4 linked regions of the Cricetulus griseus genome follow. Each later gene encodes a partner of the first gene's protein in a complex. Links are inferred from orthologs where the notes say so. Each region holds a gene or a part of one and is shown on either strand. Other genes may lie near its edges. The genes, in order: Ap3d1, Ap3s1, Ap3m1 and Arf1.

Region 1 (5,455 bases):
TGATCAGGGCCCCCAGTGAGAAGGCAGCAGTCACCTGCCCTGCCTGTACCCAGATGCATGCCTTTGGTCAGGGCTGGTAGCAGGCTGCAGGGCATGGTGGTGGGGTGGATGGAGATCAACTTGAGTCCTGCCTGGGAAGACATGATCATTGTGACATTCCTCCTCAGCTCTGCGTTCAGAAGTTGAGGATATTGATAGAAGACTCAGACCAGAACTGTAAGTCACCGCCACCTACCAAGCAGCCACACTTGAACACCATGCCTGGGATTCGTAAACCCCGTACCTGGGGGCCCTCTGCCCTTTTGCTGTCCTTATGCTTTCCAGCATGATGGTTTTGTGGGTTGAGTGCTGGCTGTCACCATGGGGGGGAGGCACCCTGAAAGATGGGATCTGTGCTGAGCAATGTGGAGACACCAAACATGAAGATGATTTAGGAGGCTCAAGCTTAGTTGCTTGAGCACACTAGTGTGCCAGACCTTAGGTCCCAGACCTACCTGCACTCAGAAACCAGGTGTGGGCCACAGGCTTCAAGGTCATGTTTAGCTCCCTAATGAGTTCAAAGCTTGTCTCAGAAATAAAGTAAATACTGTAAGGTCTGTGCCTGAGGCCACAGCTGCATTTTAGCAAGCAGGAGGCTGAGGCAGGAGAGTCAGGAGTTCAGGGCCAGCCTGGTTCCACAGCATGACCCATCTGAAAATAAAACAAGAGGGCTGGTGAGATGGCTCAGTAGATAAAGGGGTTTGTCACCATCCTGATGGATGCCCTGACTCCTTCCCTGATCCCATGTGGTGGGAAGAGAAATGACTCCTACAAATGGTCTTCTGATCTTGACGCACATCCCAAACAAATAAATGTGATTGTTTTTCATTTGAAGGAAAGGGAGGCATAGTATGCGGGTACACACCTGTTATTGTAGCACTTGAGAGGGGGAGGGGGAGAGCCAGGGTTCAGGTCCAGAGGCCTCTGGCTAGCATCTGCCTGGTCCTCAGGGAAGCATGCAGTGACCTGCTGCTGCCTTCCTTGTATCTCACACTGCTCCAAAATGGGGTCCATGTCAGTGGCATCTACTGTACCCAGACCAGATGGCAGGTTGAGCCTCCAGTGTCTGCTGTAGTCCAGTCCTTACTTCCCCACCCTCAGCGTAGACCACAGGGTCTCAGCAGTTCTCAAGTCAGTGCTGTTGGAAAGCATCTCTAGGCCATCTGTAACAAAGGAGGCTTCTGAGTGTAGAGCTGTCGTCTGTGCTTTTTCTGCAGCCTCTCCCTGCACTGGGCTAGCAGCCTCTATCATTTCTCTAGCAGTGACCTTTAGAACATGTGGGCAAGGTCCTCACACCATCATTGGGGTTCTTGTTTGGGTTTTTTTTGACTTTTGTTTTGCTTTTCAAGACTGTGTTTCTTTGTATTCTCCTGGCTGTCTTGGAACTTGCTGGGATTAAAGGCATGAGGCATCATGCCTTTGTTGTTTTGTTTGAGGTTTTTTTTGTTTTTTGTTTTGTTTGTGTGTTTTATGTTTTTTTGTTTTGTTTTGTTTTGTTTTGTTTTGTTTTGTTACACAGACAAGGTTTCTCTGTGTAACCCTGACTGTCCTGGAACTCAGGCTGGCCTCGAACTCACAGAGATCCTCCTGCCTCTACCTCCTAAGTGCTGGGATTAAAGATGTGTGTCACCAAATGCCGGCCTGCACCACTACCCAGCCCAGCAGGGTTCTTTTTTAATATACATATTTTCAAATTCTTCATAAGTTTTTTCATTCTTAAGTATGTGTTCATGTGTGGGTCTGTGCTTGGAAAAGCCAGTGCCTGTGGAAATGGAGGCACCTGATATCCTGGAGCTGGAGCTACAGTCAGAGCTACCCAGTGTGGGTGCTGGGAACCAGACTCAGAGCCTGCCTTGTCCTTATGCCTAGAGGACTGTGCCTGTGGACCGTGCTGTGACACGGCTTCCACTTTGGCTTCTTGGGGTGGCGGGCATAACAAAAGCGGCCATCACCTGCAGGCAACACCATCTGGGTGGAAGTGGCGATACATTCCCCTATTGCACCCATTGGCCATGGTATTCCACTCTGTCTGCAAACTAATGGCCACTTGGTCTCCACAGTAAAGTACCTGGGGCTTCTGGCCATGTCTAAAATCCTGAAGACACACCCCAAGTCCGTGCAGTCTCACAAGGACCTGATCCTGCAATGCCTGGATGACAAGGACGAGTCTATCCGCCTGCGCGCTCTTGACCTGCTCTATGGAATGGTATGTGTTCCTGTTCCCAGAATGGGGAGCCTTCGAAGCTTCTGAGTCACTCTTCTGCAGGCTGGGACAGCAGCCTGAGCCACTGGGGTCAGCAGATGGCACCTGTCCTACTGTAGGGAATGGGGCCTCTGTCACCTTCCCTTGGTCAGACATGCATGATAAGCTGACTAATGTACCCAGTGTGACTTCTGCTGTCTGTGGAAGAACCTGTCCCTCCTGGGCTTACGAGCTCAATCTCAGCTATCATCTCATGGCTGAACATATCCACCTGTGCTGACCAACCAGCTCTGCCCCCACAGGTGTCCAAGAAGAATCTGATGGAGATCGTGAAGAAGCTGATGACCCATGTGGATAAGGCTGAGGGCACCACCTATCGTGATGAGCTGCTTACCAAGATCATTGACATCTGCAGCCAGTCCAACTACCAGCACATCACCAACTTTGAGTGGTATATCAGCATCCTTGTGGAGCTGACACGCCTGGAGGGTACCCGCCACGGCCATCTCATCGCTGCACAGATGCTGGATGTGGCCATCCGCGTCAAGGCCATTCGCAAATTTGCTGTGTCTCAGATGTCTGCACTGCTTGACAGTGCCCACCTGGTGGCCAGCAGCACCCAGCGCAATGGCATTTGTGAGGTGCTCTACGCTGCTGCCTGGATCTGCGGGGAGTTCTCGGAGTGAGTTGGTGCAGCCCTTAGAAGTGGCCCACTGTGGCCTGGTGGGGGGACATGTGGGCAGACCCTCTGCCTGAAAGATGGTTGGTTACTACTGGGTGGCCCCACCCAAGTGACTGACTGTCCCTTCATGGTGTGGGGTCACATGGCTGTGAAGAGGGTGCCCTCTAGTTCATAGATCTGTTCTGCTTCAAGAGTCATCCTAGCTGGGCAAGCTGCCACCCTCAGAGCCAGGCCTCACCATACAGTGGTGATAGGCCTGCTCCCACCAGCCCGGAGATTGCCCTGGTAGAGCTCCATAGGGCAGCTGCTGTGCCCTCATGCCAGGCTCCAGGAGCATGTGGGTGGGTGGACTGGGATGGCTGTAGCACTCCATGCCCCCTGGTATACCTGGCTTAAAGGACACGACAGCGGTGACCCAGAGCAGATGTGGATTTGTTGTTAAATATCCAGGCTGTCAAAGAAATCTACTGGGAAAGTAACAACATTTCCTTAGCACCTCCCATTGCCTTAGAGTCAGCCCACAGGAGCTGCCTATCAGTGCTCCTTGGAGGGTCCAGTGGGGAGTCTCCTCTCTGAATCCCGCAAGGCAGCCACAAAGTGCACATGGATGCTGGGAGAAGTTTATTGATGCGTCCTTGGTTTTGTGGTGCTGGGAATTAATTGCACCCAGGACTTTGTTCATATCAGGCAAATGCTCATTACCAAAAATATTGATGGCAGCAAGTGAGCCATACAGGTCATCTGTGTCTGCTGGTGACTGTCAGATATTTGCCATGGTTTCTTGAACCATGTCCTTTTTTGTGGAATTGATGGTTCTTGGTTTTCTGCTTCTGCTCAGTGAAAGTGAGTGCCCCAAGTTTGTGCTTTTGCTGAGAAGCCTAGACCCCCACATCTCTGGTCTGACTTCCTTGAGAGATAGGCCTGTGAGTGTGCTCAGTAGCCTCATGCAGCCCCTGTCCCCCAGGCACCTACAGGGACCCCAGCAAACCCTGGAGGCCATGCTGCGGCCCAAGGTCACCACACTGCCTGGCCACATTCAGGCTGTGTATGTGCAGAACGTGGTAAAGCTGTACGCATCCATCCTGCAGCAGAAGGAGCAGGCTGCCGACACTGAGGCTGCACAGGAGGTTACCCAGCTACTGGTGGAGCGGTTGCCGCAGTTTGTACAGAGTGCCGACCTGGAGGTGCAGGAGCGGGTAAGGCCTACAAGCTGGAGATTTTGCTCACGGTTGAGATTAAACCTTAAAAGGGCAGTGTCAGAGAAGGTGAATAGTGCCATGGCTCATGCCCTGTGACTACATCCAGGGCTAGTACGGTGTCAAGTTGGAGTGGGGGGGTGGCCTGCTCACACCTCAAAGCTCACAGGCAGCAGGGCCTCCAACAAAGGTACCCCCTGAAGATTCCTCAGCTACTGCCACACACCTCCAGCTGGGTCTGGACTCACAGGGTGGGTAGTGTTACTTACCAAGGACCCCCATGTCTGGAGATGCTGTTGGTCCCCATCTAGGTCCTTGTTCCAGACAGAGTCAATAGATGGGAGTTATTGAAGTCTATCCTAGCCCTGTCCATCTGAGGTTTAGGGTGTGTGAACAGGGATTGTGGTGTGGATGGGCCTGAGAGCCAGGCTAAGAGGTGGGCAAGGCCCTGCTACTTCTGGGAATGTTGGTTTGTGAACCCCTTTGTTTGTTTGTTCTGGGACAGTGCTTGAACCAGTTGCCTGTGTGTCTCAGGCATGTACTTTGTCACTGAGTCATACCCAGCAGGTGGCCAAGGTCCTGGGCTGACACCTGGGTAGTGGGGCCTGGTGAGCAAGGCTGCTCCTGGCACCCCATGGTAACGTAGGTTCTCACTGAAAACCAGATGCCATGTGGATTCTGCTAGGTCTCTGGGGTCAGGCTGAGCCCTGTGGGAAGTAGGGACCCACACGGAGCCATGCCTTGAAGTTGGGACTGATTGTGTGGCATGGTAGCAAGGGCTGCCTAGTACAGCTGTGTCTATAGAATTAGAGACAGCACAGGACTAAATGGCTATAGGTGGTCACACAGGAGGTGGCATTAGCTGAACTCCCTGTTGTGACATTGGTGGGGCTTGTCTCTCCCCATCTGAGATGGTCAGACATGATGAGGTCTATGGCTGAGCTAATGGAGAGGACAGGCCCCAGCACCTCATCTCAGATGCCTGCCTGGCTAACTGGCTCTGGGCAAGACTGCCTGGCTAACTGGCTCTGGGCTGTTGCTCCTCTAGGCGTCCTGCATCCTGCAGCTGGTCAAGCATGTGCAGAAGCTGCAGGCAAAAGGTGTCCCGGTAGCTGAGGAAGTAAGCGCCTTGTTTGCTGGTGAACTGAACCCTGTGGCTCCCAAGGCCCAGAAGAAAGTCCCAGTTCCTGAAGGGTGAGGATTGGGGATGTGGGAGGTGATGAGGTAACAGCCACTGAAGTAGTCACTGATCTAGGAAATTAGGTAGAGGCTTCCACACCCTAGGACCTGCCAGCAGCCAGGGGAACAAGAGATGGCCCTGGGGCTAGGTGGCCA
Region 2 (5,455 bases), on another chromosome or scaffold:
TGAACAGATAGCTGGAGCAGAAGGCAAACTCTGAAGGATTGTAGTTCCAGTTTTGAAGACATAAGGCTACTGAATGTTGTACATGGGAACACCGAAGTCCCCAAGAACTTTCACACATTCACTCTTGTTCTGAATGCCAGTGAGTAGAAAACAACTCTGAAAAATCTACAGATTTTAGGTTTCTACAATCTTGTGAATAGAGATAATTGCTATCTGTCTTGGACTATCTTTTCAAATCTGTCACACTGACAAACAGCCTGGGAAAAAATAGTGTTTTCCTCCAAAGAAAATGACAAGTTCACCTTTTCCCTTAAAGATAATCTCATCCTTCCCAGAGCAGTCATGATTTACCCATTATATAGAATTTCAGCTCCTTAAGCTTGGGATCCCCCACCTGTGTGATGAGCTACTAGGGTGCAGGCATCACCTGGCTCCTTCACAGCACCCTTCTGAGACTGAGAACTAGTGCAGACAAATGTTAGCATGGTTTGGTGTGTTTTGTGGATAATGCTTTTGTTGTTAGTAATGCAAGAAGTCTTCTGCCCCATCTTCTACAGCCATCCTTTATACTGTAGGTCAGCTTGCAAATGGAGGAAAATCTCAAACCCTTGACAGATGCTGACAAAATCCTGATGACTACAACTAAATATGTAGGAGGAAGACAAGTCTGATAACATGAAATCTAGAGATGTTTTAAAAGAAAATATTCTGGAAGAAACAAATACATCTCTAGATTCAATAATATGAAAAAGCAAACACACATACACACACACACACACACACAATCTGTTACTTGTGAAGGTTGAAGTCAATGACAAAGCAAGACTTAAAGAACTGAAGTAGTATTAACATGTGAGGTTCAAAATATCCATTTTTTGGCCAGGCCGTGGTGTTGCACACCTTTTATCCAAGTACTCAGGAGGCAGAGACAGGCAGATCTTTGTGAGTTTGAGCCCAGCCTGGTCTACAAAGTTAGTTCCAGGACAGTTAGGGCTGCTACACAGAGAAACCATGCCTTGAAAAGCCAAAAAATAAAAACAAAATGTCCATTTTCTTATAACTAACCTTGAGTTCTATGGACATTACAAAAGCTTTTCAGGAGACTAGGAGAGTTAAGTCTTTAGGGTCAGATGAAATTAGTTCTAATTAGTTCTAGTCAGACTAGTTTCTACATCCTTGATATGGATCATGAAGGTACTGTCTTTCTAGGTGAATTAATCCACTTACAAGTTCATAGCTAAACAAGTTATCAGGAGGTGGAACCTAGTTGGAGGAAGGGGGCCACTGGAGGTGATTCTGAAATATTTATCTTGTCCCTGGCCCTTCTGCTTCCCAGGACAGCAGTATTCCTCTGCCATGCTTTTCTACTAGGGTACTGCTTTGCTGTGGACTTAGATGCAATGGGATCAACTGGCAGGATGAAACTTCCAGAACTGTGAACCAAAATAAACCTTTCTTCTAACATGACTTATGTCAGGCAATAGGTCACAGCATACCCACCTCCTATCAACTATGGAACACTTCTTATCAAACAAAACACGTTTTTTTTATAAAGTTTTAAACTTAAGTTTATAAAAATATAATAAAAAAAAAAACTAAAGGTAGCTTAGATGCAACTGTTAACTTACCTGAATTAGATCTAAAATGCCAAGTTCACTTTCTGAGGAATCCACACAGAAGACAAAATATAGTGTTGCATAATGTCTATAAATCAGTTTGTTGTCAGATCCTCCAATTAATCTAAATGACAAAACAATTAAAATGGTGTAGGGACCAAATGCAGACCATTTCATTAGCTCAAGCAAAATTACATTTGTTAAAACCTTTTAGAAAACAAAATGTAACAATGGCATAGCATTCAAGTAAATTTTAGAAGCTAAGTAAATTAAAACAGCAATTTTCTTCAGAAATTACAAGTAAAAAAGCCAGTACTAAATTTTAGTTAGTTATTCACTAAAGTATTTACTGAGTAAGTATGGTGTGTCACTGATAGCAAGTAAAGAGACAAGAAAGTTAACAGGTAGGGGAAGGTGTCACACAGAGAACCAAGACAGGTCTGGCATATCCATGGATTTTGCACTTCAGAATGAACACTGAGAGAGAGAGAAAGAGAGAGAGGGAGAGAGAGAAACATTTAGATTGACATCTAATCATTACGGGTGGGCCACAGAAAAATGAAGAGAGGAGTATCGTGGGGTAAAGTAGCAATGGCTGAAAAGGGCCATTATCAAAACAATATGCACTTTCAAGGAGACAAGAGGCCAGTAGACAAGTATAGATTAGTAAACAATAATGCTGAAGGAACAGGCAAAAAAAACAGATCACAGAGCATGTGCAAGTGCTTACAAGATGTAACTTCATAGGTCACAGTAAAATACACAGCTAGACTGATTATCAGCTAGAAAAAAAAATAAGAGTATTTCTTAAGTTTCAGACAGACTTAGCATTAAGATGCTCTCCAAAAACATTGTTCTTAAATCTAAATGTAAGAACACTGGGCCAATGAATACTCAATTCTTTCATCAAATACTTTTATTCATATTGATTAGAATTCAGCATTTTTAAAAGAATAATTTAGGAATCATCTGAGGCATCTTATATTTCTCCAAATACACTTTAGCTGTATAATAGTCGTTTATAATACCAAATTCACCTTCTCAAGACCACTTCAACATTAACATAATTTAAAACCAGCCTAAATACAATCAAACTAAGGGAGCATTCACAACAATATAGGGTGTGGCATTTTTCTTATTCCATAAATATAACAATAAAATTACAAGCTCTATAGAAACTGCTTCTCTTAAGTACATACTACTTCCTTGTCCCATAAGAGCAAAAACAAATGATCTTGGTGGGGAAAAATGAAGGACTCTTACTATGCTAGGTTACTTGTCTGGAGAGGATTTAATTTAAAAGTCTGTATGTACACTTTAAACATTCTGAGACTGGTTATAACAAAAGTTAAAACTGTTCCCTGAAGGGGCGAAATAAGCAGCAGTTTCACTGTAGGTTGTCTTTTGTTTTGCTTTAAAATATCATGCTTCTGAAAAATGGGTTACAAAGTAGATTAACGCTCAAAGACCTCTGAAAGGCAAGGACATAGTTGGCCTTGAAAACATAAATTCACTTTAAACTAGTCTAATTCTGATACAAATTCTTGTAGGAAATTGTCTTAAGTTAGAGTTTCTATTGCTATGATGAAAAACCAAGCCAGGGAGGAAAGGGTTAACTTGGCTTACATTTCCACATAGAAGTCCTTCACTAAAGGGAGTCATGACAGGAACTCAGGACAGGGCAGGATCCTGGAGGCAGGAACTGATACAGAGGCCATGGAGGAATGCTGCTTACTGGCTTACTTGCTACCCATGACTTGCTCAGCCTGCTTTCTTATAGAAATCAGGACCACAGCCCAGGAACAGCACCACCCAGAGTGTGCTGGGCCTCCCACACTGATCACTAAGAAAAAGCCTTACAGCTAGATCTTATGGAGGCATTTTCTCAATTAAGGCTCTCTCCTCTTTGATGACTCTAGTTTGTGTCAAGTTCACAAAAAAAAAAAACACTAGACAGTATAGAAGTGAAAAACAGCATGTAAAATTTTATAAACAGAAATTTATAATTTTTGATATGTTCTTAGACCTAATATTTCAAGGAGAAATGAACTTCCAAGAGTTTGAACAATCTGGCCAAGGGAACTGGCTAGCCAGGTTCAAAACTACAATGAAGATAGATGGGTAGCATCATCTCTGGCACAGCAGTTGTTTCTCATTTTTTATATGGTTAGGAAAAAATCTCAATTTCAAAGCATAATTTCCATCCAAACAGGGCCCTCTTTATATCACTCTGGTCCTCACCATTCTACCACATGCAACACACTATACGAGGTGAGAAGCTGTGGCAAAGATGACCAGATTCCTACAGAGGTTTAACAGAAGCAGAACAAGTGGCTGCCTTTGTCATTTAGAGTCTGGAGGGGGTTAACACCAAAATCTACAAATCATAAATATGCATTACATATTTTAAGTGCAGCATGATATAACATGTTGAAAATGCAAATAAAGACAAATTCTCTGCTAAAATGCAAATAAACTTTCCACATGATTAAAAAAAAAAAACCATTTGGTCAGACAAAAATGGGTTCTGTTGCCCTGACATTTTTTTTTTTTATAATATGCACCTTACCATTCATGAGGCTTTACTGGTATTTAGTTTTAATTCTCAATGAGACAATATTAAGTATATTAATTATGTAACTGGGGAGGAAGCATTTATGGAAATATTTGGAGGTAAACTGCTTTCAATAGAACCCATTCATTTAAAGTATTTATTTAGAGTTTGGGATGCACCTCAGTAGGAAAGCACCTGCCTCCTATGCACAAAGCCTTGGGTTTAATTCCCAACACAGCAAACAATGAAAAGGAAAAAAGAAAGATTTACAGTATTTGTTTAGTTTGCAAACTAATTTTTTCATTTTAAAAATAGAAACATCCACTGGCTGAATCTATACTAGGGATATATTAGGTAAATAGATAAATTTGAAAAATGGACTATTGACTTTGTTTATAACAAAATAAAGGATACAATCTGAATTTTTACCTTAGGGTGCATTCACCCTAAGAATTTCATCATTAGAAAGAATGATGTTTCAAGTTTTTAAAAAATGTGTTACATTTATTTATTTGTGTATGTGAATATACATATGTCACATGACAATTTTCGGGAATAAGTTCTCTCCTTATACTGTGTAGGTCCTAGAGATCACATTCAGGTCATCAGGGTTAGCAGCCAGCACCTTTACTAGTTAAGTTCCATTTCTCCAGATGTACTTACAGGCAAAATTTTACAAAATATTAAGCAAAAAAGCAACATGAAAAAGAACATTGTGATCTAATAGTAAAATATTTTAAGGTTACATTTTTATATGTCAGGAAATACAAAGTGCAGTTTCTAGAAGAATACACAAGAAATTGGGGAAAAGGACTAAGACTGGGAGAGGGAAATTTTTACAAAGACTATTCAGTTATACCTAACAATGACAGCAATTAATTTACCTAATTTAGTTATAATGAGAGATTTCCATCATAAATTGGTTAGTAGTATATACTTTCATCACACATTGGAAATTAGAAATACCCATGAAATGCTTTACTTACAATCCTCCTTCTAGGAAATTACAAACATTCTCATCTCGCTTAGACACCAAATGGAAAGTCTCCCTGATGATTTGCTGTTGTGTATCTTCACTCTGAAAAAAGATAGTTCATATGTATTAGGATTAAGTTTACAGGTTTAACAGCATTTTAAGACATTCTGAAAATAAGTCATTTTAATGTGAAAAAAAGGGGGGGGGAAGTGTCCTTGGAAATCAGATTCAAATTACAGAAGTGAAACCCAACATTTTTTGATGAAAAGGGGGAACAATTCACTATAGTTTACTACTGCAATGAAAGTA
Region 3 (5,936 bases), on another chromosome or scaffold:
TAATAAAAGTAGGAAATCAATTGCAGAAGTCTCTGCATAAAACTCAAGATTTGTTCCCATAGTCAAAATACCTAATCTTTTAACTTCACCTCTGCAGATGGCACTGAGTTAGTATTAAGTAAAATGAACTGTATTCATCTAGATTATTTACAAGTTTTAAATAGATACAAAGGACAGATATGTGCCTGTTTCCTTTTTTGGATAAATTGAGATAATAATAGAAATGATTTTATTGGGTTGTTATGGTATTGAGTTGAAAGATGTAGAATGCAGAAACAGAAACTAGCATATACATATTTAAGTGTTAAACATTACCATAGAACCTTTTTAAAGATACATAGGCCGGGCGATGGTGTCCCACGCCTTTAATCCCAGCACACGGAAGGCAGAGGCAGGCAGATCTCTGTGAGTTTGAAGCCAGCCTGGTCTACAGAGAGAGTTCCAGGAAAGGCTCCTAAGCAATACAGAGAAACCCTGTCTCAAAAAACAAAACAAACAAACAAAAAAAAACCATACATAAGCAAACAGAGGTATTTCTCAAATATTGTGTAAACACACTATAATCAAATAATAAACTTGCATCCTGATACCCTGGGTTCCAATTTCCCTTCCTTAATTGAACTTCAATATTCTCACCTGTAAACTATGAATAATCCCTGCCGTTCTTTCATAGAAGCTTCTTTTTATCATTACTACAGATGGTAAGCATTGTTAAAATGAATCATTATTATCTATAAAGTATTGCCTTTTTAAAAGAAAATCTAAAGAGACAGTATTTACATAATGGGGGCGGGACCACATGTGAAGGTCAGAGAACAACGGAAGTCCAGCACGTGGGTCCTGGAGTCTGAACTCAGGTCATCGGACTTGGCAGCCAATGACTCTTATCTACTGAGCCATCCCACAGGCACAGATAATCTAAAATTTAAAATAAAACAACCTCAGAGTTTTTGCGCACAAAAACCCTCTAAGAATTTTAGAGTAACCATACTTTAAAGCCACTGGAAAGGATTTGGTCATCACCCATTTCACCAAGAGCATGATATAAGGTCCCTACCTAACCTTTTCTTTTCAACTGTGAACAAATTATTCTTTTGAATGGAAAAGATATGTTGAAATAAATGGGATCTGTCTCAGTAATAGCCTCACAGTTTTAAATCAGCTTGATGTGTCTATTTTTAGGTTGAAAAAAATCACTGCCTTCCAATGAGCAATTCAAAGGCATCAAAGGTTGCACACGCTAGACTTATTAGGAAGAAATGCTTTTTAACATAAACGGCTTTTTATAAGTGAAACTTGCAACATCAATTACATGTGTGTCAGGTGTTGGGAGAGCGCTTTCTCCACTGTTGCCAAATATGCAAAGAAAAGCAAACAAAAACTTTCCTAAACATTTAGCCAAATGCTATCCTAGCCAAAGTCTCTGAGTCGGATTGTGGTCCCGGTTTGGGGGGGTGGGGTCTCCGAAGATGATTTCAGAGAGGTGACCAAAAGAAGGTCGAAAACACTCCTCCGCAATGCCTTCCGAAAAACCCCAAGAATTTTATCTTTCACCAGGGTCCAGGGGGCACTGGACTCCTTCCCGCTATACCCCAGGCCAGGATGCAGCTCCAGACGAGTCCTTTGGGGTCGCGCTAGAGCGGCCCGCGAGGACTCGCACGTGGCGCCAGCGGTAGGCTCGGCCCCCGGACCGGCCGCTCTGATTGGTCAATGGCTGCCAGGGCCGGGAAAGCACCTGAGCACGGTTCAAACCAAGGGGTCAATGTGCAGCCACGAGGGCAACTCCCCGAGCTGCAGGTCCCGCGTGTTGGCCCCACGAACGCAAACACCACGCAGCAGCGCCAGCCCACGTGGGCCTTGGCTCGCCGCAAATGCCGTCTCCCTCCTCCCCACGTTGGCGGCTCTCACCTCAGCGCTTGTGGCGCTTCCACCTTCAGCTTTTTGGGCTTTGGCTCCTCAGCAGCTGCCATCTTCGCACTCTCACCCTAGTTTGGCACTATCGCGCGTCCCGCCCCTCAGCCCTGTGGCTCCGCCCCCTCTACTCGTCACCGCCCCTTATCCTAAGCCCCGCCCCTTTTAGCCCCGCCCAATCCGTGACTCTCTAGTCCATAACCATTGGCTCTGCGCGTATCTGATGTCCCGTCCATCCAGGGCCTCGAATACTACGGTAAGGGTCCCCAAACAGAGTTAGGCTGCTGGTGAGCGCCTGCGCTCAGGGAGTGCCAACCTCCCCGTTCTTCCAGACCTCGAGCAACGCAGAAGATTCAGATCCTCAACCTCGGGAGACATTGTTCCTCTCACTGAACGCCTTTCCGCCCATTTTATCTTCCTAGTCCTGCGGCCCTCCTTGGCGTCTCTGAGGCTGCTAGTCAGGCAATCTGTTGGGCACCCCGAACACGGGGTCCTCGCTGCTTTCTCTGCTGCTTCAGCTTCGGTCCAGAGAGGACCCGGCACCGAATCACTGACTCGCCCAGGTGTCGGGGTGAGTGTGAGGGCGGGGAGTCTGCGGGCTGGAGACCGCTCAAAAGCTGGGGAGTAGACTGCATAGCTCAAGCTCAGGGCACTAGCCTGGGCTTCAGCGGCGTCCCTGCTACTGTCGGCCAGGGCCAGGGCCGGGCCTCCTTACGCCCGGCCTTCCGGGCTTTCTAGCCAGCTGGGCCGGAAGGGAGCGGCACACCTGCCAAGTAGGGTTCTCGAACCCTGGACCCCAGGCGCAGGGGGAAAAGGTCTTGTTATCTACAGTGAGGTGGAATACCGATGACTTGAATTCACCAGCCCCCAGATTTGGCCTTGGAGGGCAAAGCTTCTGCTGAGTCTAAAAGAACGTCCTGTTTAGAGGGTGGCATCTGGGTGAGCGAACCCGGGATGGGAAAACCGTAAGAAGGGTGTTGCAGCTTCTCGTGAGATAGATGACAGGGCTGTAAACTGGGAAGATGGAAACGTAATGAGTGGTGGGCTTATTGTCAGTCGTGGATTTGTTTGATCCTGAAGCTTTAACTTCATGGTTGAGAAGTTGGTCACTGTAAAAATCCGGCCTTCTCAAAGGAAAAGAAATGGTTGTGGTTTTTTTTTTTTTTCTTTTGTTTGTTTGTTTTGCAACACTTGGGATTTTGACTTGGAAACACAGTACACAGGAAAAGGGAATTTCTTGCAGCCAAATATACAAATCTAACTTTCTATTGAAAGAAGGAAATGTCCCTTTTCCTCAGAGAGGACAAGTTCTTTCACCTATTTTACCAGTGCTATTATCTGCTGCTTCTCAGTGTCCTTCTTTCAAATTTTTTTCATTTATGTTTGTTGTATGTGTGTTAAATGCCACAGTAAACATGTAGAAGTCAGAGGACAACTCTTGGGACTGGCTTCTCTCCTTCATGAGATGCTTGGGACTCAAACTCAGGGCCTTGGGCTTGGCAGCAGACACTCTTTCCTGATGAGCTATCTCAGTCTCCTTTGTTTTTACCTACTTGCCACTTCTATCTAAACACCACACTGCAATGTCTCCTTTCCAACAGTCTACAGAGCTACCCCTAAAATTACCTCAACCAAGATTGCCGATGTACGCTTGGCCTTAAACCGTATATTCTTGGTGTGGATTAAAAAAAACAAACAAAAAATACTACTTTTTGAATCAGGAGAGATGGCTCACCAGTTAAGAGAGTTGGCTGCACTTTCAGAGGACCTAAATTCAATTTCCAGCACTCTGTGGCCAACAGTTATCTGTAACTCCATTCCCAGAGGATCTGACCCTTTTGGCCTTCTTGGGCACTGCACGCACGCACAGTGCACAGATATGCATGCAAACAAAACACCTGTACATATAAAAATTTAAAGAAAATTTAAAAACCTACTTGGTGAGGCACCAAAACTTTTTCATGCATGAGACTACAATATTATTTTTTTCTAAATTTGTGTGACAGGAGTTGGAAGATGATGCTGAAGAGATGGCTCAGTAATTAAGAGAACTTGTAGAGTTCAGTTCCTATCACCCACATTGGATGACTCACAACCACCTATAACAACAGGGGATCTGATGTACTATTCTGGCCTCTGCAGACACCTGAACTCTCATGGCATATACTCACAGAAGTGCATACACATAAAAACAAAATTAGAATTAAAAAAAAAATGGGTTGTGAGCTGCCTAGGATGGGTGCTGGGAACCCAACTCTGGTCCTCTGCAAAAGCAGTGACTGTTTTTAATCCTACTCTACTGTGCCTCCAACTTCAGGAGATCTACTGGCCTTCTTGGGCACTGCACTTACATGCACAAACCAACACTTGACTACACATTTAAATTCATGAAAAAAATCTTCAATTTGTAGGGAGCTGTGTGACTGACTGAGGGGTAAGAGATTAGACTTTTAAAAGATCCTTGGTAGGGAAAAGAAAATTGTAAAACTTTTTTTGAGATTTATCTTTATTACTTTTCATTGTGTGTGTATTTGCATGTGGGTATGTGCTCATGAGTACAGTGTCCGTGGATATCAAGAACAATGGATCCCCTGGAGCTGGGGTTAGGCTCTGCCTGACATAGGTGGTAGTGCTAGGAATTGAATCTGAGGATTTTTTTTCTTTCAAGACATTTCCAAGATGTGGTTTCTCTGTGTAACCCTGGAACTCACTTTGTAGACAAGGCCCTTCTCTGCCTCCTGAGTGTTGGGAGTAAAGGTGTGGGGCACCACACCCAGCCAGAGTCTAAGTCTTCTGTACCTTCTCTTTCTCCCATTCTTCTGGAAATGCATTACCATACTTTAATTACTCTAAATCTCCCACAACTCTTCCCCGCTTCAACTACATCTTAGTCTGTTTTTAGTTCCACTTCCTTGACTCACATGCTACTCAAATACTGTTTTTGCTTTTGTGTGTGTTTCTTACTATGTGCATAATTTCTTTGTATATAATCCTTATATTTGTAATTCCCATTAACAACATACCAGTCTTTTTGAAGCACCATCCAGTGATTGAATAATATACTTATTTGAATCAAATATATTATGAATTGGGTCAAATTTATGTATGGCTAGGTCTTAATACATCAGATTTCATCTTATTTCTACACAACATAGCCAAACTTAAATACATTTTTGCTCAAAGCCTGTTCGTTTTTTGGTTTTTTTTGTTTGTTTGTTTGTTTTTTCTTTTTCATTTTACTCCATCTTGTGAACCTTTTAGTCCAGGCCCCTACTGTTGCTCATCTCGTGTGTGTGTGTGTGTGTGTGTGTGTGTGTGTGTGTGTGTGTGTGTGATACATATGCTATGTATGCATTTATATAGTACACCATGTGAGTACAATGCCTGTAAAGTCCAGAAGAGGACATTGAACCCCTGGGGACTAGAGTAACAGACAGTGGTTCTCAACCTGTGAGTTGCCACCCCTTTGGGGGAGGTGGTCTAAGACCATTGGAAAACACATCTTTACATTATGATTCATAACAGTAGCAAAATTACAGTTATGAAGTAACAACAAAAATAATTTTATGATTGGGGTTACCACAACATGTGTTTTAAGGGGTGGCAGCATTAGGAGGATTGAGAACCACTAGTTGTAAGGGTGCTGGGAGTCAAACCTTGAGCCTCTGGAAGGGCTGCCAGTTCTCTGAACTGGCAAGTCATTCAGCCCCACTATCACACATCTTAACTGGTGTTACATAAGTCAGTGCCTTGTAACTCAATTTCCATAGTGTACTTAGCTTAATCTCTCTAGAAATGTAAATCAGATTTGAATATTTCCCCTCAAAATAAAAAATAAAATTGGGAAATTACATTACACTGAGAACAACAACCAAGGCTAGCCTGGCCCATGACCAGTGGCTGTTTACATATCTTTACCTTTCATCCCAGCACTTCTTCAACCTTAAGAGTTGCAAAATTTGTTTTGGATTTCTTTCATGTGTTCTCTTGTACCTCTCTATACCTTGAAGATTCCTGTAGCTCAC
Region 4 (6,231 bases), on another chromosome or scaffold:
GAAAAAAAAAAAAAAAAGGTTTATCAAGGCCACTGGGATTTTTTTAAAAATTAAAAAAAAAAAAATCACACACCTAGAGAAGCTAATCCCTTCAGGGAAACTACAGGGCCAACAAGCAATGTTGCATTATTTTTAAACTATGCACAAGTGTGCTTCTGTGTTAACATTCCTACACCAGTAACATCTAGATACTCAGGTGTGCGTCAAACCTACCTCAAGAACTGCTAGCTCTAAGCACACAGTTCAGTTGATCACTTCGGTATGTCCAAAGTCTGATATGACCTTTAACAGAACAGAAATGTTAAAAGTTGAAAATAATGCCAAGCAGAAGTTTACCACCAAAGTCATTAGAAGACAGAGTATTTTAAATATAAGCTCCTGGAATCAAACAAGAAAGAAGAGCATTCTTATCTACAGAACAGGAAGCTCCAGAGGAACACACACTGCAGGCCATCTAGCTCTGCCTTCATTCTCATTCTTCAGCAATGACTCTCACTAAAATCTAGAAACCCTTTTCAACCCTTTTCTTGGAAACAAGCACCTAAATCATACCAACAGAATTTTAAAAAGGGGGTGGAGAGGAAGAAAGAAAGAAAAACTTGTCAGAGGACACATAGAGAATCTGGGCCACAAACTTCCCTGTTTCAGTATAAGCCATTGCAAAAATATTTTGACAACTGATACTGACAAAAAGTTATTGTTTAACATACAGCCATCAAGCACAAGGAGCCTGTTGGAAAGAACTAGTTTGCTAGCATCCCTTTAACATGTATACTTACCTCTATAGATACTGATTAAGAAAGTTTCCTTAATAACCAAGTCTCACTCATGCTATACTGCAGTAATTCTCAGATCCTCAGAAATATGGGGAGCTGTTTACCACATAAACTTAATCACCCCCAACTGCTGTCTATAAAAATATGCCTGCCTAGCATGGGGGCACACACCTGTAATCCCAGCAGGCTGTAATCTCTAGAGGCTGGGGCAGGAGTTTAGGGCAAACCTGTACTACAAACTACACAGTCAAACTCTTCCCCATAAACAGCCTATGTTCCTATTTTCTATCAATTCCTCTTACTACTGAAAACGTTCCCTATATCAGGGCCTGCAGGGAGTGCCACTCTTCCTAGTATATTGGCTACTGACAGGCAGCCAAGCCCTGTTACCAATGTGAGTAAAAATTTCAGGGAACAGGACCAGATAAGAATATTGTGGAAGATGGGCCCTAATTAGTATCATCACTTCTTTGTATATGTAGTAGGACAGGGTGGTGAACACCTAAAAGGTCCTACACTAACAAGTAACACCACAAGCTATTACCTGCAATCTGTATCACAATCAATATTGAACATAAACCTCAGTGTGTAGTGAGAAATCCCAATGCGTGTATATGTGTACACACACACACACACAAACACACACACACAGAGAGAGAGAGAGAGAGAGAGAGAGAGAGAGAGAGAGAGAGACAGAGAGACAGAGAGACAGGGGAGATACAGCATACACACAAAAGGAATTTTCATGTTTCTCTCCTCACCATCACTGACAATTTCATGAAGATCAAAAGTCAAAGGGATTCATGAGAGAAAATAGGGATGGACAGACAGACAGACCATGAATGACATAGCAAACTAGAGCAGGCAGGGGTCTGTTGGGCTCCTCAGTGCAAATGACACACATAGACAGCCCTTGTGATTAACAGTAGATTTAAACCTGTACATCAAGCTGAGCAGTGATGGCTTAGGCCTTTAATCCTAGCACTAGGGAGGCAGAGGCAAGCAGATCTCAGAGTTTGAGGCCAGCCTGGTCTACAGAGAGAGAGAGTTCCAAGACAGCCAGGGCTACACAGAGAAACCTTGTCTCAAAATAAAAAAACCCTGCACATTAATGTAACACTTAATTCAAGGAATCTGAAAAACATTGACCCAATACTCTCAAACCATTGTTGACAAGCTATTGCATGAACCTGCACAACAAGTTTTTTCTCTTGGTTAGGTTGCCTGACACTGGGTCGTCACCACAGTAACTGCTGGTCTAAGTTACCTTTACCTTAAAAAAAGAAAAAAATAAATAAAAGGTTGTAGTTTGAATCCTGCCTGGTCCTGGGCTGAGGCAACAACCAAAATGGAACAAAGATCCTCTCTACAAGGAATTACTGTTCAAGAGGTATAGTGGACATCTCAGCTACATGACTTATAACTGTAAATGAGGGGCACAGAACTAGCTATTGCTACCTTCCTTCCAGGATAAGTAGACTGAGTATGAGTCAGCTGTTATTCACAGTTAAACCTTGTGTGTGCAGTGCTAGAGAGCCAAACCATTTATACAAGCTAGGAAAAGCACTCTACCCCTAGCTCTTAAACCTTTCTGAAGTAGCAACTCTACATCTGCCTCACAAGCAAGACAACAGTGTGGTGAACCAGTGAGTCAGACTCATTTTCAACAAGATACCTAGGGATGAAAGCGATAGACATTCCATCAAGAGAAACCTTCATGCCAAGGAGACAATGTAGTTACAACAATGTAGCTCACAAATCTGTGACTGGCCCTTACACCACACAGCTCACAACTCTGGAGAAAACAGAGAAGTCAGAGAGTAACACTCTTCATCAAATCTCACAGTCCAGGCTATGTGAGACAGTGCTGCTGAAAGCTCAAAGGTGAGGACATTACAGGCAGTCACCCATGTCAGGTACTGTAGACACTGGTTAAGACAGAGAAAGGACATGGAGTCAGCACCCAAAGCACCATGGCATCTCACTAGTCTTCTGTTCTACACTCACTGCAGACTCAGCCTGCAGGAAAAACTGCTGACCACTAGTTGTGAAACAAGAACTACAACGGACTACTCCAACATTGGTTGTGGCATCAACTACTGGGCTCTCTGGTGCCTTCTGGGAACAGGAGCAGCTGCCCCTTTCTTTTCCAGCAAAACAGCCACTTGCTGGAAGGGAGAATCCCTCCCACTTAGGTACCATGCAACGGTTCAGCTACATACAGTCCGACACGGCATGGCCACCCTGACTGGACAGCCAGAACTGTACACTGGATCTGGCCTCTTGTTACAAGCAGATTGCTCAGAACCTGGGAGCAGGTTGTTCCACGGCCAGGTTAAAGATTCCCCAACTCAGAAGGGCCTTTCTAATCCACCCAAAGGAGCATCAAGGGGGTCAGTCAAGAGGTAAAACAAGGCTCAACTCCTGCAGAGGCCACCGGGCCCTTGAGTGCAAACCTCAATGAAGATCTCACCAGAAAAGTGTGGGGCACAAATCACGGCTCACTAGGGATCAGAGTGGGCACTTGGGATCCACTGAAATCCGCATATGCGCTTGTTAAATCCAAGCACCCGGTTCAGCAGTCCGGAGCCCCGCTCCACCGGTCCCAGCCCTTCACCTCCTACAGCTCCGGTCCTCCGGGCCGACAGGAACCGGACTCGAGACACAGAGGAGGAAGACCTCGCCACCCGAGTGACCTTGACGCCGTCTGAGGGCCACCCAAGCCTCAGTTTCCCCTACCCCAAGGTCCGTGCCGTATCTGAAGCTTCCGGCTAGCCCTTCTAGAAGGGAGACCCCCCCCCGTACCCCTCGAGCCCTGCTCCCCGTTCCCGAGCTCCCGGGCCGTGGAACCTAGGAGAGGCGCAGAGAGGAACAGCAGGAAACCTGGCTTCCTGGAATGGAGCCGGCGTCCCGGCCGGACTTCCGGGCTGCGGCCCGCGGCTGGCGGCCAGGCGTATGGGCCGCGGAGTGGGGGAGGGCCAAGCGGCCGTGGGCGACGCGGGACTGGGGGAGCCCCGATCCACTGCCCGGCCTGCCGTCAGGTCCGCTAGACAGAGATCCCGGCCCGCCCGACCAGACTCGGCCCTTAGAAGCTTGAACCGAGCGCCCCTCGACGCCCACGATGACCAGCCCGTGGCCTCCCCAGCTTCAGCCCCAACGCGCCCAGCGCCTCACCTCCGCGGCGGCTGCTCCCAGCCAGGCGTTGGTTTCGCTCCCACAAGATGGCGGCGCTGACGGCAGCCACGTCAGCGCCTGCCGCGGGGCACGCCGGGGGAAGAGGGCGGGCACGCCTGAGGCCCCGCCCCTAGATGAATGGCGCTTGCGCGTCTGCACCAAGTAGCCTTCACGGGGCGGGGCCAAAGTCGCTCTGCTTCCGGATCGCGGCCCCGGGCTAGCACACACCGGTTTCCCCGGACTAGAACGCACAAGGGTGTGGTGGGTGGATTTCCGTGTCCATCGACGCGTGCGCACGCGCGCCTTCCTGCGGAATTCCTGCCCATTCCTCGGATGCGGGGGTTGAGGACAGTAAGCGTTCTAGAGCGCCAAGGTCAGAGTGGGAAGGTCGTGTCAGCACTGAGGGGGTGTGATGTTCCTCTCAGAGGTATATTCCAGCTGGCCCTGGGCACTGAAGATAATGATATCACTGACAAGTAGCCAGAGCGGAAAGAGGCGCAGACCAAGTGTCAGATAGGTACCGTGCCCCTACGCTAGCCTTGGCCCTGTGTGCACTCTCAGAGCTGACCCAAAGACTTGTGTGGAGTTAGCACCGCCTGAGAGGGTACTCTAGGTTGCCCCTGATGGGGTGGCCTCCTGAAGGGTGCAGGAGAGGAGGAACCTGTTACATCTCCCTGAGAAGCCTTCCCTGCCTGGTCAGAAGCAGCAGAAATCTGCTTGCCTCCCCATCTATGCAGGAATCAGACCCACGCTCTGTCAGGCCTGTCCAGTTCTTCCACCTCATTTATTGTGAGGAATCCCACAGGCAAGAGATGTTGAGGGACCTAGGGCATTTAAAAAAAAAAAAAAAAAAAAAACCTGGAGCCCTATCTGTTGAATTGGCAGGAGGCACTTCTGTTACATGGGCCTAGATTAATCAATCACACTGTGTCCAGGCATCCTCGCTGTTGTTTGGGGGGTTGAGACCTCCAGAGCTTTCTCTTAAGAGTTGTGGGTGCTAAACTTGTCAGGGTTCTAGGAAATGGTCACCTTCTTGATGCGGTTTCTCTGCATACCCCTGCCTGGCCTTGAACTTAAAGATCCACCTGCCTCTGCCTCCCAAGTGTGGGGACTAAAGGCGTGTGCCACCACTACCGCCTGGCTTTAGACCTCCGGTTTTTAAGTACCACTTCTGTAAGTTTCTATGGAGATAACTGCCTGATCTCCCACCCTCAACACACAGCAAGTATTCATGCAAAGCCTTGGGTGGTGCTAGCTCTTCATTCCCTGGAAAAATGGCAGGACATACCCAGAGGCCTGTGATCCCAGCCATATAAGAAGCCTGTCACAGCCACTTTATAGATGAGAAGACAAAGATACAGAGTGTCAAGGAAAACTACAGATTACTAATCAAGAACAAACCCTTTCTGTTCCTAAAAAGATAAAATTGTGGCAAAATAGATAGGGTGGTAGTCCATCCATTTATCCTAACCTGGCAACTGTACATTCATGCCCCAAAACTCACTATACCCTGTAAATAATTATTTGTGTCCATTAAAAACTTAAATAGCCATTATGGATACTTAATAATGTTCAATGGATGATAGGTTCTTCCCACCTCCCCAGGTCGGGTTTAAACCTCCAGTGAAATTTTCATATTGCACATAAACTTTGAGTGTTGAATCATATATCCAGTTCCAGTGGATCTGACTCCCTCTTCTGGCATCCTTAGGCAACAGGCACTCTTGTGGTATACATACATATTTGTAGGCACTCACATACATAAATAAAATAAATAAATCCAAACTGGAGTTACAGGTGTTTATGAGTTGCCATTTGTATTCTGGGAACCAAACTCAAGGCCTCTACAAGAGCATCAAATAGTCTTATGCACAGAACCATCTCTCCATCCCGAAGTGTATATTAAAAAGGGAATTGGACAACTGAGCTGAAGAGATGGCTCAGCCCTTAAGAGGACATACTTCTCTCACAAAGTACCCAAGTTCCTTTCCCAACTCCCAACTGCCTATAACTCCATTTCTGGGGGATCTGATGCTTCTGACCTCCACAATCATCTGCACTTACACACACATACAATTAAAAAGTATCTTTTAAAAATTGTAACACAGGGGGTCTGGAGAGATAGCTCAGTGGTTAAGAGCACTGCCTGCTCTTCCAAAGGTCCTGAGTTCAATTCCCAGCACATGGTGGCTCACAACCATCTGTAATGAGATTTGGTGCCCTCTTCTGGCCTGCAGGCATACATGCAGGCGGAACACTGTACACATAATAAATAAATCCT

The links.
Region 2: the proteins of Ap3d1 (region 1) and Ap3s1 are in contact, whole or in part, in a cryo-EM structure (PDB 9C5C), measured with the Homo sapiens proteins. The link is inferred for Cricetulus griseus from reciprocal best matches to the Homo sapiens genes AP3D1 and AP3S1. Residues at the interface, in NP_003929.4 of Homo sapiens: Leu18, Gln19, Val22, Arg26, Cys60, Thr63, Tyr64, Gln66, Met67, Leu68, Gly69, Tyr70, Asp71, Ile72, Ser73, Lys87, Phe88, Thr89, Arg92, Ile93, Leu96, Gln100, His103, Tyr126, Leu132, Thr133, Ser136, Tyr161, Lys164, Lys165; in NP_001275.1 of Homo sapiens: Met1, Lys13, Pro14, Arg15, Leu16, Ser17, Lys18, Phe19, Pro22, Tyr23, Glu25, Asp26, Gln28, Gln29, Arg42, Asp43, Glu44, Asn45, Val46, Cys47, Asn48, Phe49, Ser80, Glu81, Ser82, Glu83, Leu84, Gly85, Leu87, Asp88.
Region 3: the proteins of Ap3d1 (region 1) and Ap3m1 are in contact, whole or in part, in a cryo-EM structure (PDB 9C5C), measured with the Homo sapiens proteins. The link is inferred for Cricetulus griseus from reciprocal best matches to the Homo sapiens genes AP3D1 and AP3M1. Residues at the interface, in NP_003929.4 of Homo sapiens: Lys29, Glu388, Gly389, Thr390, Thr391, Arg393, Glu429, Arg432; in NP_001307192.1 of Homo sapiens: Ser25, Ser27, Asp30, Tyr31, Glu34, Pro52, Asp104.
Region 4: the proteins of Ap3d1 (region 1) and Arf1 are in contact, whole or in part, in a cryo-EM structure (PDB 9C5B), measured with the Homo sapiens proteins. The link is inferred for Cricetulus griseus from reciprocal best matches to the Homo sapiens genes AP3D1 and ARF1. Residues at the interface, in NP_003929.4 of Homo sapiens: Lys48, Asp50, Phe77, Ile80, Glu81, Ser84, Asp107, Met110, Leu111, Thr112, Thr113, Asn114, Gln115, Arg117, Lys118; in NP_001019397.1 of Homo sapiens: Tyr35, Ile46, Pro47, Thr48, Ile49, Gly50, Phe51, Asn52, Val53, Glu54, Trp66, Lys73, Ile74, Leu77, His80, Tyr81, Gln83, Asn84.

What each region holds. Positions count from the first base shown.
Region 1 is NC_048598.1:101,499,359-101,504,813, reverse strand, and holds part of Ap3d1 (AP-3 complex subunit delta-1), read left to right. Parts: intron 1-167; coding exon 168-216; intron 217-2,099; coding exon 2,100-2,245; intron 2,246-2,544; coding exon 2,545-2,924; intron 2,925-3,888; coding exon 3,889-4,120; intron 4,121-5,168; coding exon 5,169-5,314; intron 5,315-5,455. UniProt on the Homo sapiens protein: Part of the AP-3 complex, an adaptor-related complex which is not clathrin-associated. The complex is associated with the Golgi region as well as more peripheral structures.
Region 2 is NC_048595.1:191,306,081-191,311,535, forward strand, and holds part of Ap3s1 (AP-3 complex subunit sigma-1), read right to left. Parts: intron 5,249-5,455; coding exon 5,157-5,248; intron 1,741-5,156; coding exon 1,629-1,740; intron 1-1,628. UniProt on the Homo sapiens protein: Part of the AP-3 complex, an adaptor-related complex which is not clathrin-associated. The complex is associated with the Golgi region as well as more peripheral structures.
Region 3 is NW_023276807.1:199,929,823-199,935,758, forward strand, and holds the start of Ap3m1 (AP-3 complex subunit mu-1), read left to right. Parts: upstream 1-2,130; 5' UTR 2,131-2,134; coding exon 2,135-2,167; intron 2,168-2,218; exon of another isoform or gene 2,219-2,482; intron 2,483-5,936. UniProt on the Homo sapiens protein: Part of the AP-3 complex, an adaptor-related complex which is not clathrin-associated. The complex is associated with the Golgi region as well as more peripheral structures.
Region 4 is NC_048600.1:73,284,647-73,290,877, forward strand, and holds the start of Arf1 (ADP-ribosylation factor 1), read right to left. Parts: upstream 4,092-6,231; 5' UTR 3,951-4,091; intron 283-3,950; exon of another isoform or gene 214-282; intron 1-213. UniProt on the Homo sapiens protein: Small GTPase involved in protein trafficking between different compartments. Modulates vesicle budding and uncoating within the Golgi complex. In its GTP-bound form, triggers the recruitment of coatomer proteins to the Golgi membrane.